Linked DNA regions of Neurospora crassa OR74A. The protein of the gene in region 1 interacts with the protein of each later gene in a pairwise test. Links are inferred from orthologs where the notes say so. Each region holds a gene or a part of one and is shown in the gene's direction. Other genes may lie near its edges.

Region 1 (3,752 bases):
AATGGTTCATCAAGAAGGTGGTCCGGAAGTCGGATCTCGCGGGAGGGGCGGCCAACACCAAGCTCGTCAAGGAGGGTTGCAAGACGGCCATGGCGGCCTTGGAGCATGCGCTGCTCGCCGCCGAAGGCTTGGTGGAATAATTTTGCTTTGTTGGATACCTGTATATGGATCGGATATCTTCGGGAATAGCAACATAATGATCAGGGATACAAGTGTGCCGGGGTCTATACAAAAGGCCATTGACCAATATCATGACAAGTTCATGGAACTAACCCAAGCATTCTCGCTCGAATGTAGTTACCTACTTTGTAGATATTAGCGTTGACGGCGGGACTGGAAAAGTTGGGGGTAGCTTTAAGTTGGGGAACTTGTTGTCAGGAAGGGCGATTTGCTACTAGGGATCCAGGGAGCAACCGACTCGAGTGTGCGGGAGCCCGGAAATATAGTGGTCTGTGAATAGCACTCAATGATGTCATTTCGTCTTGCAACGAAGGGACAGGGTTTCATGAGGGTCGGGCGGGACTCTTGATTGTGGACATGAAGAGGAGGCAGATGGTTTGAGATGAATTGCCTGCCATGTGTCATGTCGTTCGACAAACAACTAACCTCTAAGACGGGTTAGGGACAGGTTATGCTTCTCCAATTCGGCAGCTGGGCAAGCTGGGGTTATTTGGCGTTGACGGGCGGAGTAAAGAGGGGAGCAAAGAGGGGATCGCGCCAAGGAGCAAGATGAATGTCAAACACAACCTAAGCTGTCAGAAAAATGGCTACAATACATAGCGGGAGTGCAGAGATGTCAAAATTTTGGAGTCAGCTGCTGCACGCCAAGTTCGTCTTGACCAATCACAGGACGCAATGGAGCGTACCTAGTACCGTACGTATTTGGGGACGGGTTTCTTCGACGAAGCAGTCAGGGCAGCAGCGACAGTAAAGTAAGACGGCGAAGAGCGCGCTGCCCGTCCCGCCTAACACTGGCATCATAGTACTTTTACTTCCTGTAGCACACTACCTCTACACTACTAACACGATCAGGCAGTACCTACCTACCTATTTAGTGTAGCGTACGCGAGATTAGAGGTACCTACTACCTACCTAGGTAGTGGTGTTCCTACTCCGCTCCGTTCGTACCTACCTCTACCTACTCCGCTCTGCGCTGTCTCGAGCGGGCCAGCTTGGGGACGGGCACGGTGGAAAGCGGGTGCCCTTTGAGCGATGTGAGCCTCTGACGGGCTGGCAACCCGAACAAGTGGGACTGGACATTTTTCGCTTGCCGTGAATAGCTTCCGCCTCGAATCCCAACAATTGTCTCTCCCGCGGCGTTTTGCAGTTCAGTACACACTTTCGACGTCTCACCATCGAATCGCATTCCCTGCTTCCCCGGGCATCTCTCTGCAGTGCGCTCGTTCCTTCGAATTTTCCCTGTTTCCATTTCTGGTTTTTCCATTCAGCACATACTTTCACCATGCTGTCCCAAAGATTAATAGGCCGTGCTGCCGTCCGGTCCGCCTTCAAGCCCTCGGGGTAAGCTCACTGTCCCGGTTGCCGGCGGATGCCCGACACACTGTTTTCTCATGCGCGTACTGAGGCTGACCTGACGACCACATACAGGCTCCCTGTCGTCGTTTCTCCCAGGTTGAGGAGGACCTATGCGACCGAGTCTGGTCTGTTTGCCAACATCAAGAGCTGGTTCTCGTCAAAGGATTCTGGTCGGCTGACTGTTGATGTGCCCGTAGAGGAGAAGGATCTCGTCATCATTGGAGGTGGCGTCGCTGGCTATGTTGCTGCCATCAAGGCCGGCCAGGAGGGTCTCAAGGTGCGTCGCATCGCGAATCAACTACACCGCAACACCGACGAATGACGACAATATCTGACTGCTATCTCCCATGTTGCCTGGAAATAGGTCGCCTGTATCGAGAAGCGCGGCACCCTCGGCGGTACCTGCCTGAACGTCGGCTGCATTCCCTCCAAGTCGCTCCTCAACAACTCCCATCTCTACCATCAGATCCTCCACGACTCGAAACACCGCGGCATCGAGGTCGGCGATGTCAAGCTCAACCTCGCCCAGCTTATGAAGGCCAAGGAACAGTCCGTCAGCGGTCTTACCAAAGGTGTCGAGTTCCTCCTGAAGAAGAACGGCGTCGAGTACATCAAGGGTGCTGGCGCCTTCGCCGATGAGCACACCATCAACGTCAAGCTCAACGACGGCGGCGAGACCTCCGTCAAGGGCAAGAACATCCTTATCGCCACTGGCTCCGAGGTCACCCCCTTCCCCGGCCTCGAAATCGACGAGAAGCGCGTCATCAGCAGCACTGGCGCCATTGCTCTTGAGAAGGTCCCGGAGAAGATGCTCGTCATCGGTGGTGGCATCATTGGTCTCGAAATGGCTTCTGTCTGGTCCCGTCTCGGCGCCCAGGTCACCGTCATCGAGTTTCTCGACCAGATTGGCGGCCCCGGCATGGACCTTGAGGTTGCCAAGTCCATCCAGAAGATCCTGAAGAAGCAGGGCATCAACTTCAAGACCGGCACCAAGGTCGTTTCCGGTGACAAGACTGGCGAGACCGTCAAGCTCGAGGTCGACTCCGCCAAGGGTGGCAAGCCCGAGACTGTGAGTGGCCCATGATACCCTGCAGGCTATCTGTTCGTTGTCGTGATCTTCAAAGCTGACATTGTTCGAACACAGCTCGAGGGTGACGTTGTTCTTGTCGCTATTGGCCGCCGTCCCTACACCGAGGGTCTCGGCCTTGAGAACATTGGACTCGAGAAGGATGAGCGCGGCCGTGTCATCATCGACTCCGAGTACCGCACCAAGATCCCCCACATTCGCTGCGTTGGTGATGTCACCTTCGGCCCCATGCTTGCTCACAAGGCTGAGGAGGAGGCTGTTGCTGTCGTCGAGTACATCAAGAAGGGTTACGGCCATGTCAACTACGGCTGCATTCCTTCGGTCATGTACACCTTCCCCGAGGTTGCCTGGGTTGGCCAGTCCGAGCAGGAACTCAAGAAGGCTGGTGTTCCCTACCGCGTCGGTACCTTCCCCTTCAGCGCCAACTCCCGTGCCAAGACCAACCTTGACACTGAGGGCATGGTGAAGATGATCGCCGACCCCGAGACCGACCGGATTCTCGGTGTCCACATCATCGGTCCTAACGCCGGTGAGATGATTGCTGAGGGTACCCTTGCCCTCGAGTATGGCGCTTCCAGCGAGGATATTGCCCGCACCTGCCACGCTCACCCTACCCTCGCCGAGGCTTTCAAGGAGGCGGCCATGGCCACTCACTCAAAGGCCATCCACTTCTAAGCAGCTGGAGCGTTTTGGCGTTGAATGGCTCTAAGCACGGAAAAATGTGCTGTCTGGATTTCTAGCATTGGGAGTATGGAAAGAGGATGGGAGGAGGTGTGTACTTGTACTGTAGTCACGGGCTTTCCCTCGAGGGTTTAATAGGGGATTTTCACATGACATGCTAAATAGACGCCGCTTGTTGGTTGGACTAGGGCTATTTGGCCTTGCGGGTCCTGGTTGGGCTCGAGACTCGATGAATACACGAGATTTTAAGAGATACAGAAAAGCTACCTTGGTTGCCAGATGGGATGGCAGGAAGGCTGCTGGTTATTTTATGTTAACATTGCCGAGTTATCAGAGGGCTGTGGGTTTTGGATGATTCTTGTCTGTTCTCCATGCTGGTGCAATTACTTCTTAGTCCGAGTAGCAGTGCCCATCAATGCCGGTCTTCAACTTCGTTCTGGTGTTAATG
Region 2 (3,752 bases), about 120 kb from region 1:
AATGGTAGGATAAGATTGGAATGATGGGGGAATCCGCAATTGCGCAATTGGGAAGAGGTACGTTGACACCGGGGGCTCTACACAGGCGATTTGGATGGGCTTGCAGGACGCGCTTCCGTACTGGAGGGTGGCTGCCTAAGGCACAAATCATCACTTCAGCACCTGGCGATATACATTACTGGGTTCACATTTCGTCTACTTGTGTACGCAGTTCACTCCACTAGGTACATACCAAGAAGGGAAGTGATCTTTGCTTTGCCGAGTCTTACAAGCCTTGCGTCTTGCTTGGCTACCCAAAACTAGTCAAATCTGTGCTTTGGACACTGCCATTGGAGGCACATGCAGCTACTACCTATCTTTATAGATTACGATGACGTCCCTATTCATTTGCTATTACATTCATATAGTAGGCAAGAGTAACTTAAACCTGATCGATTGAGATTGCTTAGGCAAATCGCTAATTGCCTACGAGGGACGTGATGAATACCAATGCGGTCTAAAAGCCTCGAGACCTGGGTGATCCGACACCCATATTTAAGATCCGTTACTCCGACGGTGTAAACGGTGACCCGGACGGATGAGCGAACCAGAGGTCCAAGCGTCTACGACATGCTAGCCTCGAGCTAGCGCACATGCTGGGGAGGGGGTCCAGGGTACTCTGAGTACGGACAATAGGATAGAAAATGGATGAGCACTTGAACGCTAAGAAAATGGTGCCCAGTATGGGATGATAGGAATTGTACGTCTATACGTAGATTGTTAGGTTTGCTGTCTTTCGGGTACCTTTCACACTCAAGCGTGATGCTTGACAATAAACCGGTTGCCTGAGGGGAACATCGATCCGTCCATAGGGTAAAACCTAGGGAGGCTTGTTTGGAATGATAATTTAAGTGCTATGGAGGTGTTCGGTGCAGGCTGATCCCTGGACCGTGCAGGCTACCGGGTCGCACCCCGGAATGATTCTTGCGATAGCTCCTTTGGTTTCCAGAAGATGTTCCCCGTCCCAGCAAACTGCGAGGCTGACCCCGTGACGCCGTGAAGGACGGCCAGATAGGCTTACCTACTCTAGGTAGGCTGGTAGGGGACTCTACTTAGTGTAGTTTCTTCTTACTCAGTTTACAGGTGTGACATGGACACTACACTACCTAGAGGTAACAGGTACGGTGAGGCTGGTGTGCTGCGCTGCCGTGCGGTGCGGAGAAAGCGCAAAAAAAAAAAAAAAAAAAAAAAAAAAAAAAAAAAAAAAGGTCGCGTAGAGCTACTGTGTGCAAAACATATGCTGGTGCAAGAACTTGTTGGAAATGCGCGGGAGTCGCTTATTATGCGGGAGTGAATTTGACAGCTTATACGATATCTAAAATGCAATTGAGTTAATGTACCCTTCCTCTGGGTCGCAGACGATCTGACCGTTAGTTTTCCGGTTGTCCCGGCAGATTTCTGTGCTGGGTGCTGCGTCATTGTCGCCGAGTCAGAACGGGACCTGTAGCCTCACGACAAATCTCATCACAACCGCCAATTTCGCGTTCTTCATCCGACGCTGTTCCCCCCAACCTTGGTCCTACAAAACCTCTCAAAAGGCACATCTTTATCTTGCGTCCCTACCAACTCCTGCTCCTTTGCCCGACATCCCGCTACTATGCTGTACAAAGGTCTTCGTCTTGCGGCTCGCGCCGCTCCCAAACTCGCGCTCTGCAATGCGACGCCCGCACTCCGGCAGCTTCCCCTGCAGTTCCAGCATGTCCGCACCTACGCCGATCAGGTCATCAAAGTCCCCCAAATGGCCGAGTCCATCAGTGAGGGTACCTTGAAGCAGTGGAACAAGAAGGTTGGCGACTATGTCGAGCAGGACGAAGAGATCGCGACCATCGAGACCGACAAGGTGTGTACGACGCTTCCTTAGTCCCGTGCCGGTGTCGGAGCCTAGACCGCTTGGAGCACATGCTGTCTGCCCCCCTGTCCTGCCTCTTTCTACGGTCATAGCTCGCCAGCGGCACATATATTTGCTTTCTAACTGCTTCTGCCACTGGGTTCTAGATCGATGTTGCCGTCAACGCTCCCGAGGCCGGTACCATTAAGGAGTTCCTCGTCAATGAGGAGGACACTGTCACAGTCGGCCAGGACATCGTCCGGTTAGAGCTTGGTGGTGCGCCCAAAGAGGGCGGTGCCGAAAAGCCGGCCGCGTCCGAGAGCAAGGAGGCTGCTCCCAAGGACAGCGCTCCTGCTCCTGAGAAGGCTCCGGAGCCTAAGAAGGAGACCAAGCCCGCCGCTGCTCCTGCTCCTACGCCCGCCAAGAAGGAAACTCCTGCCCCCAAACAGGAGAGTACTCCTGCGAAGGAGGCCCCGGCTGCATTGGGCAATCGCGAGGAGCGCAGAGTAAGTAAACGGCTCCTGAGCAAACGGAGTGGTGAATCGGTCAAACTAACACCCTCCAGGTCAAGATGAACCGCATGCGCCTCCGCATCGCCGAGCGTCTCAAGCAGTCCCAGAACACGGCTGCCTCGCTTACCACATTCAACGAAGTTGACATGTCGGGCCTGATGGATTTCCGCAAGCAGTACAAGGACGAGATCCTTAAGAAGACCGGTGTCAAGCTCGGCTTCATGAGTGCCTTTTCCCGCGCATGTGTCTTGGCCATGCGCGATATCCCGGCCGTAAATGCCTCGATTGAGGGTCCCAATGGCGGTGACACCATTGTCTATCGGGACTATGTTGACATCAGTGTCGCTGTGGCCACCGAGAAGGGTCTTGTCACTCCCGTAGTCCGCAATGTTGAAGCCATGGACCTCGTTGGCATTGAGAAGTCCATCGCTGATATGGGCAAAAAGGTACGGCTTCCCGCGCCTATGGAGTGCTTATATTACCTTACTAACTGTTATCGCAGGCTCGTGATGGTAAGCTCACCATTGAGGACATGGCCGGTGGCACTTTCACCATTAGCAACGGAGGCGTTTTTGGCTCCTTAATGGGTACCCCGATCATCAATCTTCCTCAGAGCGCAGTTTTGGGTCTCCATGCTATCAAGGAGCGACCTGTTGCTGTTAATGGAAAGGTTGAAATTCGCCCCATGATGTACTTGGCTCTCACCTACGACCACAGGCTGCTTGATGGCAGGGAGGCTGTCCAGTTTCTGGTTAAGGTGAAGGAGTACATTGAGGACCCCAGGAAGATGCTTCTTTAGGTTGTTGTAGTGGCAAAAAATCAAAGATCGTGTGTATTGCACCGGGCTTCTAGTGCTCCCATATCATATGGGTTGAACAATGATAAGAACAACAGAGTATTGAGAGTTAAGTCATTGGGATGTGAGTGTAATGGGTCTGGCGCCTGGGGATATGATGCCTAGCCGCAGAGCCGAGGCACGCTCCCTAGTTGGCCGATGCCTTAGGCCACCTGTTCTCTTCTAGTACTTAGCTTCCGGGCTGTAGGCCTTTCCCAGCCTACAAACCTTTTCCGCTTTGTTAATAACATTAAGCTTTAGTATACCCTAGGTGCTGTATTATATTTAGTAGACCCGTAATATATCACGAGAATCCCTCCTCGCACCTACCCTATTCCTTAGAGGTACTTTGTTTCTACTAGATAACAGCTGTTATATAATACTGGCCGTTTTGTCTAGTAATCTTGAATTTTCCAATTCAGGTTATTGCTATAAGGTGTAACGGGGGCAGCACAGTTGATACGGGTACTGGTCGTATAGCTTGATTAATATTCTATAAAGGAGGAGACGTTTATATAAAATGCGGATCTACTAGCGT

Evidence for each region. The genes of interacting proteins can lie anywhere in the genome.
Region 2: the proteins of NCU02407 (region 1) and NCU02438 interact in binary tests that used the Saccharomyces cerevisiae proteins (3 or more experiments, as listed by UniProt). The link is inferred for Neurospora crassa OR74A from reciprocal best matches to the Saccharomyces cerevisiae genes LPD1 and KGD2.

Annotation. Positions count from the first base shown.
Region 1 is NC_026507.1:2,607,023-2,610,774, reverse strand, and holds NCU02407 (dihydrolipoyl dehydrogenase), read left to right. Parts: upstream 1-994; 5' UTR 995-1,462; coding exon 1,463-1,521; intron 1,522-1,608; coding exon 1,609-1,661; intron 1,662-1,733; coding exon 1,734-1,813; intron 1,814-1,900; coding exon 1,901-2,605; intron 2,606-2,680; coding exon 2,681-3,298; 3' UTR 3,299-3,738; downstream 3,739-3,752. Other genes in the region: NCU02406 (nuclear protein), read left to right, coding at 1-140.
Region 2 is NC_026507.1:2,482,690-2,486,441, reverse strand, and holds NCU02438 (dihydrolipoamide succinyltransferase), read left to right. Parts: upstream 1-1,240; 5' UTR 1,241-1,636; coding exon 1,637-1,879; intron 1,880-2,034; coding exon 2,035-2,373; intron 2,374-2,432; coding exon 2,433-2,825; intron 2,826-2,881; coding exon 2,882-3,178; 3' UTR 3,179-3,538; downstream 3,539-3,752. UniProt on the Saccharomyces cerevisiae protein: The 2-oxoglutarate dehydrogenase complex catalyzes the overall conversion of 2-oxoglutarate to succinyl-CoA and CO(2).